Linked DNA regions of Lepisosteus oculatus. The protein of the gene in region 2 interacts with the protein of the main gene of each other region in a pairwise test. Links are inferred from orthologs where the notes say so. Each region holds a gene or a part of one and is shown on either strand. Other genes may lie near its edges.

Region 1 (3,753 bases), on a different chromosome or scaffold from region 2:
GTCTCCCATCCAGGTACTAACCAGACTCACACCTGCTGAGCTTCAGTGAGCTGACAGTTTCGATTTGCAGGGTGACAGGACTGCTGGCAGCCATATAACTAATGTGTTCTCAACAGCTCCCGCACGACGAACCGATTAAACTCTATGAGGATGAACCTGGACTTTACAGGACAGTGTATTCACCCCATGCAGTACTATTCCCGTTGGCCCTGGGCGTAATCGCCACTCTCGTAATCACACAAATCGTGCTTACCTGACTTCAGCTTACAAGCGGAACCTCCCGCGGTCCCGCTGTTCGCTTTATTTAATTTAGTGTGTGATGATGAGATCGCCCGCATTCTTGTAAATAGTTCCCTGGTTTCGCCCCCTTGTTATACTTGTATCCAATTACCACACTATCCCTGCGTAGCTACCCGAATAGACCCCAATGTACTGCTCCCTCTCGACTCTTTCTGGCGCTTGCTCGGTCTCTCTCACTTTCAGTCTGTGTTTTGCTCTGCTGGTGCGGAGTGCTGTGCTGCCTGTACCGAAGTTCAAGAAAAGCGCTGTTTTCTCTACTCGACGAGTGTCTGAGTCACTGAGTCTGTCCTCGCCGAACCCGAAACTATTACAGTATTTTAGATACAGATCACTTCCTTTAAAATGCATACATCTTAGTGAGAACAGATGTTTAAAATCTGTATCGTGGTCACTGTTTTTATCCTTTAAAACTTTTTAGTGAGATGACTTTTGAGCATTATACAATAAATTGGGAGTACCCAACCCCATATATGCAGTTTACTCTGTACCTCAGCTCTTAGGTGGCCAACTGAAATAATCATTGGCCTAACTGGAGGGGGGTAACAGATTTTCCAAACTCCACAGGTTCCGCTGATTTAAAGACACCTTTACAAAGTGCTTCACCCTCCAGGACTGGAGCTGAGCACCCGTGCTTTACACGCTTAAAAGTTTTTTTAGCAGCAGAATTACTTAACATTTAAATCTGTTCTTAATGTTACTTAACGTAAAGGTCATAACAGAAGCGTTTAATTTCATGTAAAGTTTGTAAACACGAATGATTAAAATAAACAAGAAGTACTTTTTTGGGATCTCTTTCCTTTAAATGTATCTAATTGTTGTTTTATATCCAACACTTGAAGTACTATAATCTTCCTTTCGAAGCCGTCGACTCCTCCTCGGTAGGGGGCAGCAATAGGTGTTATACAGAGGCTTGAAGCTGCTCTTTTCTTGGCAGAAAACTATAGTACTTCCAGGAACGGACGCATTAAGGAGGAAGTAGAGCTGTCGAAACGGGAGGAGAGTCTGTATTTTACCTGTCTCCGTGGCGTACGCCAGGTAGGGTTATTTGGATGTGTGGTCAGTGGCTATCCTTATAATTGTCCATGTGCTAGATGTACAGAAAACTAAAAATTGCATGGCTTTGTTTCGGGAAGTACATCTCATGTTTGTGAATTGGCGTCGCTGTGTATAAAAAAAAATGGAAAATACGTTATGGATGGATGTAGATTTCACTTACCTGTACGTCACAGGAGCGGCAGGTGAAGAAAAAATCGAATGTAATTTTCAGTCAGCTAACTTTGCCGCATTCCGCCGCGACTAATTAAATAAGTTGAGCATGCTTTTGACGTCTTTTAAATAGCCTAGATCCCATTCGGATTTTGCAGTGCTCTGGTGACAATCATACACAAGTATCATGGGTAGGGTTATCATAGCAGACTGACACGACTGAGAAATATATCATGTAGTTTCTAAGTTGCTGTTGATGTCGTTCCCAAATGGGAATGCGACATTTATATAAAAATGTGGAAACCATTCATCCTTTTCTTTTGTGGGAGCTGAGTCGGATAGAGTTGCTAGTGGTGGTGTCATTTTGTTGTTGTTTATTTAATTTTACTGGGTCTTGTTTTACTAGTCTTTTACTGGTTTACTCAGACTTCTAGTTTATAACACCCATGGGTGGTTTAGATTTAAGCCTTTTAAAGATAAAAAGAAGTACGTTAAAGCGTAAACGCATTGAAAGTGTGGGGGGAAAATAGTACGAGGACCGCTTAAAAAAACCTGACTGTAAAAGGGAAAGCTGGACTTTATTTTATTTCTCTCTTATCATGTAAAAAGCTGGAGTTAAATCGAGCTCGCTCTTATCATGTATTCAATAGGTAAGCGCTGAAATTGTCAGTTTATTGCTTAGTACAGTAGTTGTCTTTCTAGGTAAAAACATCATCGACACATAAAAGAAATTGCATTTTACTATCCGTTTGATTCAGTGCGTTTGCATTTTCAACCTACGGCTCCAGGTAACTTAATAAAATACTATTGCAGTCATCTTAATACCTTATCTTTTGTCTTGATGAATGCAGTAAAATGTGTATCTGCTCTTTCTTCTGCTTAATGGCAGATATAATTAATATTGTGGCCTTTATTCAAAAAGTATTTAGCAAAGCTAACAAAACTAATTGTTTTTGAAAAGGTTGTTTTTTGTAGGTCTACAATGGGCTGCTCTGCTCTTGTATTTTGATTACATTTTGTGGGGCATGCTTTAAATACCCTTTTCTGAACATCTGGACTCTTCCCTTGGTGTGCTTGGGGAATCCTAGTCATGAGGATTCCTAGTCAGGTGGACCGGTGGCTCTGTGGCTGGAAGGTTGCCTGTTCAAATCCTGCGGCCGACAGAGGAATCCTACTCCTTTGGGCCTCTGAGTAAGGCCCTTAACCCCAGCTGCTCCAGGGGTGCCGTTTAAATGGCTGACCCTGCGCTCTGAGCCCAAGTTTCTTTCTCCCTGTCTGTGTGTCTCATGGAGAGCAAGCTGGGGCTTGTGAAAAAAGACAAATTCCTAATGCAAGAATTTGTATATGGCTAATGAAGTGATCTTATGGATACCTAGCATTATTACTGAGGCTTGACCCCACGATTACAGAGATTAACCAGCTCTCAGGCAAGCACCTTTATCGGCTGAGGGACTGAGCAAAGCTCAGGCCCTTCCTTTAAATAGCAGGCTGTAGTTCCATACTATCATCAGAAAGGATGAATCACACTCCAGTATCTACATGTATATCGCAGCTGTCATTAAAACAAATTATGTCATGGTGTTCTGGAGCTGTGTGACAGTTTGTGTGTTTCTAGTGCTTTGTTTTATTTCTATCTGGATTTTGCAATCAAAGTAGAAACCGTTTTTGAATGATTTTTCTCTTCTTGTCGGCTGTTTATTCTGACTGAGGATGCGCATGTATTTTGACCCTAAGAAATTTCAAAAGACAATATTTATAATGGAACTTGTAACTTACACCATATAAGCTCAACTGTTGTGTAAAAGCAGACATCCCTCAGCTAAGAATGTCTATAGTGCAGCTATAAGTAGAAGTAAAAAGCAGACATAACATGTTCTATAATATAGTACTGGAATGCGAGACCTCCAAGGAAAACTGGGTTTCAGCTGTAACTGGTGTTGGTGGATCAATCTGTGGCCCTCTTCCCTCTGGAAGACATCAGTGTTGCAGTATGTGCTTTGGGTCTGATAAGGCATTACACCAAGGTCCTGACTGTCTGGTCTTTAAAGATCCTAAGGCACTATTCGTATGAGTATGGCGAGTCCTGAGTGGAATTATAGAGTCTGGCTTCCTTGGGTTAACCTTAATTTATCTGAAGTAATTTCTCACACCTGACCTGCTGTGCAGTGGTGCTGCTGGCGCATAATCTCTGCTGCATGTCACACAGGCGCTGTCGGTCCCCTCTTACATCTGAAGTACGTTTATCCT
Region 2 (3,753 bases):
CCCCCCACCACCCTGAATTCACAGAAGCGGCCAGTGGATGAATGCCAGAGAGTCACCCCAAACCAACCATTTCTTGAAGGTTAGGAACACTTGTAGTTTATTGGTCAATTAAGTGAATAATGAAGGGAATTCAATTAAGGGAAAACCAGCCCTTGAGGCCTGGATGGTCTTCAGACCCTTTGTTTTAAATCAAAAGTATTTCAAATCAAAGCAGAGTGTCTCCTGAATGTATGTTCCATTTGAGATCTCAGTTACAAAGCTGGTGGAATTATTTCCTTCACAGTATAACTGTTAATACCTCTGGCAAGGATTGGAAATGTTTTATGTCCAGCTTTACTTTTACTGAAGTGTGTTTCATTGTCTCATTAATCAGCTGTAAAAGACCATATTAAAAACCCTTTGTGTCTAATTAAAAAATAATTAGGATAACTGTTTATTTAATTGACTGCTCAATTAAATTGATCCCCCCCAAACCAGAAGACACTAGGCACTAGAAGAATTCGGTCGGCCGTCCCTGCTACAGTCAAATGCTATCATGGGGATAAGGTGTCGTTCACGGTATCTGCAGCGCAGCAGAAAATGCAGTTCTCCATGTGGACACACACACACATATATACTGTATAAACGTTTTATAAACGAACATGCAAACGTAAAGGAGTCGATTCGAAACCTTTTCAGGTACAATATGTGGCTGCATTTATTTTCTCTCGAAGAAGACGCTTCGCATCCCTAGCTTCTTGTCGACGGATGGGATCTGTTGGCTCCAAAGGAGATCCTGAATCGAGCGAAACACACACGGTTTTGATCCGTGCGCTGGAGAGCCCTCCTCTTCCCCGAGCCCAGCTGATACACAGCGCACCCTGGCCGGTCTCGACACGGTCCTGCACCCCCGTTCAGAACGGAGCAGCGCTGTCGGTCGGTATTTGGTGCCGCACAACAAAAGTGGTTAAAGCTTGTTAAAGGTTAAAAGGTTCCATCCCGTAAAAAAAAATGCAATTTTAGGAGCCGGGGCTGGGCTATTTTATAAAGAGCTCATTTGAAAAGGGCTAATGTACCACTGTGGCTTTAAGAGACAACGGGTGGGATTTTGGAAAGACGAAAGAAAAAAGGCAGGAGAAACTAGGCGGAGTTTAAATGAATATTAATCATCTGATGGACTCCTTAGAGACAGTCCCCAGCTGGATGAAACACATTTGACAGAACCCATATAGAACTCGTTCTCTAGCATACAGGGTTTTAACCCAGCATTTTTTTAGAAGAAAAAGAGCGAATTCAATTGAGAACTGCAAACAGTTCATTTGCAAACGGCATTATTTCACTTCAGTTCTACAACTCAGCTCGAGTTAGGGAGACAACGCAACTTCTTACATCTCCGTATCTTTAGCCAACAACTTAGATTTTGAAAAGTTTGCATCCATTTATTCTGATCTCTTTCTCCCTCAACTAATATCGAAACCTCCGTTGTTAAAATGGACACCATCCTAGACAACTTCACCTCCGAGAAACTTTTCCCTAACTCCAATCTCTTGGATTTAGAAGATCTGAATGAAGCCGACTTCCTCAGTAACGTGGTACGTAAACGATTGACTTACATTACTCATTTTCGTTATTTTAGATCCTTGACAAGGCACACTTATGTTTTCTAATAGCCTCTGAACCACTGTTAATGCAAAATATTCAAACCTAGTTTCAGAAGATGCATACACTACCGCATCACTGTTATAACGCGTCTCCTTTCTAACCCTGTGGCCACTGTTAATAAATGTGTCTTCCTAACCCTGTGGGAGCATATACCAAACGCTTCTGCAACGCTCTAAAATATCCCACATCAGAAAATGGCAAATGTATTTTTCCCAAAAACAAAACCCTTAAATGTTGTGTGGAACTTTTTGTAATGATTGTTCAGGGTTGCATCGTAACTCGACGCACCGGAACCCACGGGCAACCCAATTCGCGCAAGCGAGATCTTTTAGCGTTTACTTGTCAGCGTGGACAGCAAACTGTTTCATTTGTTAACACTCGGCGGCGGCCACTTGAGGACTGGTTTTCCGCGAAGAAAGTAAACACGGTTTCCGCCGCGAAGCAGCTGTTTTCGGGCCAGCGGAGCTGCCCCAGCTGTGCTCTAAACGCCGAGTCTGTTCTCGGAGCTCTGCCCCCGCGAGGAGGCGTGGCCCGGGCTCTTTCTCACGCCCACCCCGGCTCTTCTCCTCCCTAGACATCCCTATCCTGGTTAGCTCGCACATCCTGGTGGTGGTTGTTTATCGACCTCTTCGACTGAAGCTGCAGGGCGAATTCGAAAAACGCGTTTTGCCGTAGGTTGCGCAGTGCTATCTGGCTGAGTGTTGCGTTTGTGAGCGTCTTGAACGTGCAGGAGATCGGAAAGTGAACAGATGGGCTTGCGAGGCTGCCACGGTTTAAATTCGTTGTCGGATGCAAGACAAAACTGAATCTTTTTTTTGTGTGTGTGTGTTGCTTGATTAGACACCAGCGTGGAATCCCTCTCTAGCACCTTAAGTAAAGACCGCAAGCACCGCTGTGCTGCGATGGAGATGACGTTTGTCCAGTGTTTTTCATGTGGCGTGTTCACATGCGTTAACATACTTCACCAGACGTTTGCGGAAAAATGAAAATGTGTAGCTCTGACAGCACGCAGAGGTAACTCGTTGTCTGCGTGTTTAAAGTGGTCGACCAGGCGTATGTACCCTTCATTTCTGATCTTTTTTTTTTTTAATATCGGCTTTGTAGGAACTGTGGCGAATCAAAACCGCCGGACTTGGCCCGGACAAGATGTTTCATTTTAATCTTAATGAATAAATTGGCGCCCATCCAGTAACAATGTTTCTTATCTTATGCAGTATGACTCATGGGTTCTGTAAAAAAAACTGAAGGGGAAAAGCTGTATAAACTGTATCTGTAACGTCATCTTCATGGAAGAATGAGTTGGCTTTTCTTGGACATCTAGATTGATTAGGAAGGGTACAGTATACAGTATGTGGAATAGTGTTGATTATCACAGTTCTCTGCATGATGCACACTCATCTTCAGGTTGTGCAGTACAGCCAGACATCCCTGCATATTCTCGTAGTGTGAATGAGGTGGGGATTAAGTCACATCTCCCTAACTCTTGAAACTTGAAATCGGCACTGAAGGCCTGTCAGGGCTCCCACATACAGTAGTTACAATAGACTGTGGATGCAGACATCTTTTCACACTTCAACAATAAAGGGCTCTTGTTAGCTGGGCTTCAATGGCCTTTTTATCCTGTGTGCACTGACAGACTACTGAGGGAGGACCTGTATGTTTAGGTTAATTGGGCAGGGTCTGTTTCTGACTGCTGCCTCAGTGCTGTGTGGGGGCTGAATGAGGCCTGTGTGTCCAATAGGTCTTTGCTCCTGCAGTCACTGCCTCTCCACTCAAGCCCCTATTAAGGAAAGCCAAGTGGTGAGGACTGACCCAGTGAAAGGACTCTTTTGTGCATTAATAGGAAAAGCATCAAGTTGCAAAGGTGAAATCCAGCTGCCACTGTCAACGCAAAAACAAAGAGTAAATACAATGCTTTTCAGGCCTTTTTTTGTGGGGAGATTAAATCATCCTGTGTTTCCTGTGTTTAGATACTCATTTCATTTTATTTCCATTTTCTTCCATGTTTTTCAATGACCTCTTTTTTCAGTTCCGTTTAGTATTGACATGTAACATTGTGGCCGGCTAGGATAAAATAATCCCTAATGGAAAGGAAAAGAAACTGCAAGCTTC

What was found. The genes of interacting proteins can lie anywhere in the genome.
Region 1: the proteins of creb3l1 (region 2) and fam3c interact in binary tests that used the Homo sapiens proteins (3 or more experiments, as listed by UniProt). The two-hybrid records come from large-scale screens. The link is inferred for Lepisosteus oculatus from reciprocal best matches to the Homo sapiens genes CREB3L1 and FAM3C.

Annotation. Positions count from the first base shown.
Region 1 is NC_090702.1:40,014,311-40,018,063, forward strand, and holds the start of fam3c (protein FAM3C), read left to right. Parts: upstream 1-1,234; 5' UTR 1,235-1,335; intron 1,336-3,753. UniProt on the Homo sapiens protein: May be involved in retinal laminar formation. Promotes epithelial to mesenchymal transition.
Region 2 is NC_090716.1:4,509,271-4,513,023, forward strand, and holds the start of creb3l1 (cyclic AMP-responsive element-binding protein 3-like protein 1), read left to right. Parts: upstream 1-1,179; 5' UTR 1,180-1,469; coding exon 1,470-1,571; intron 1,572-3,753.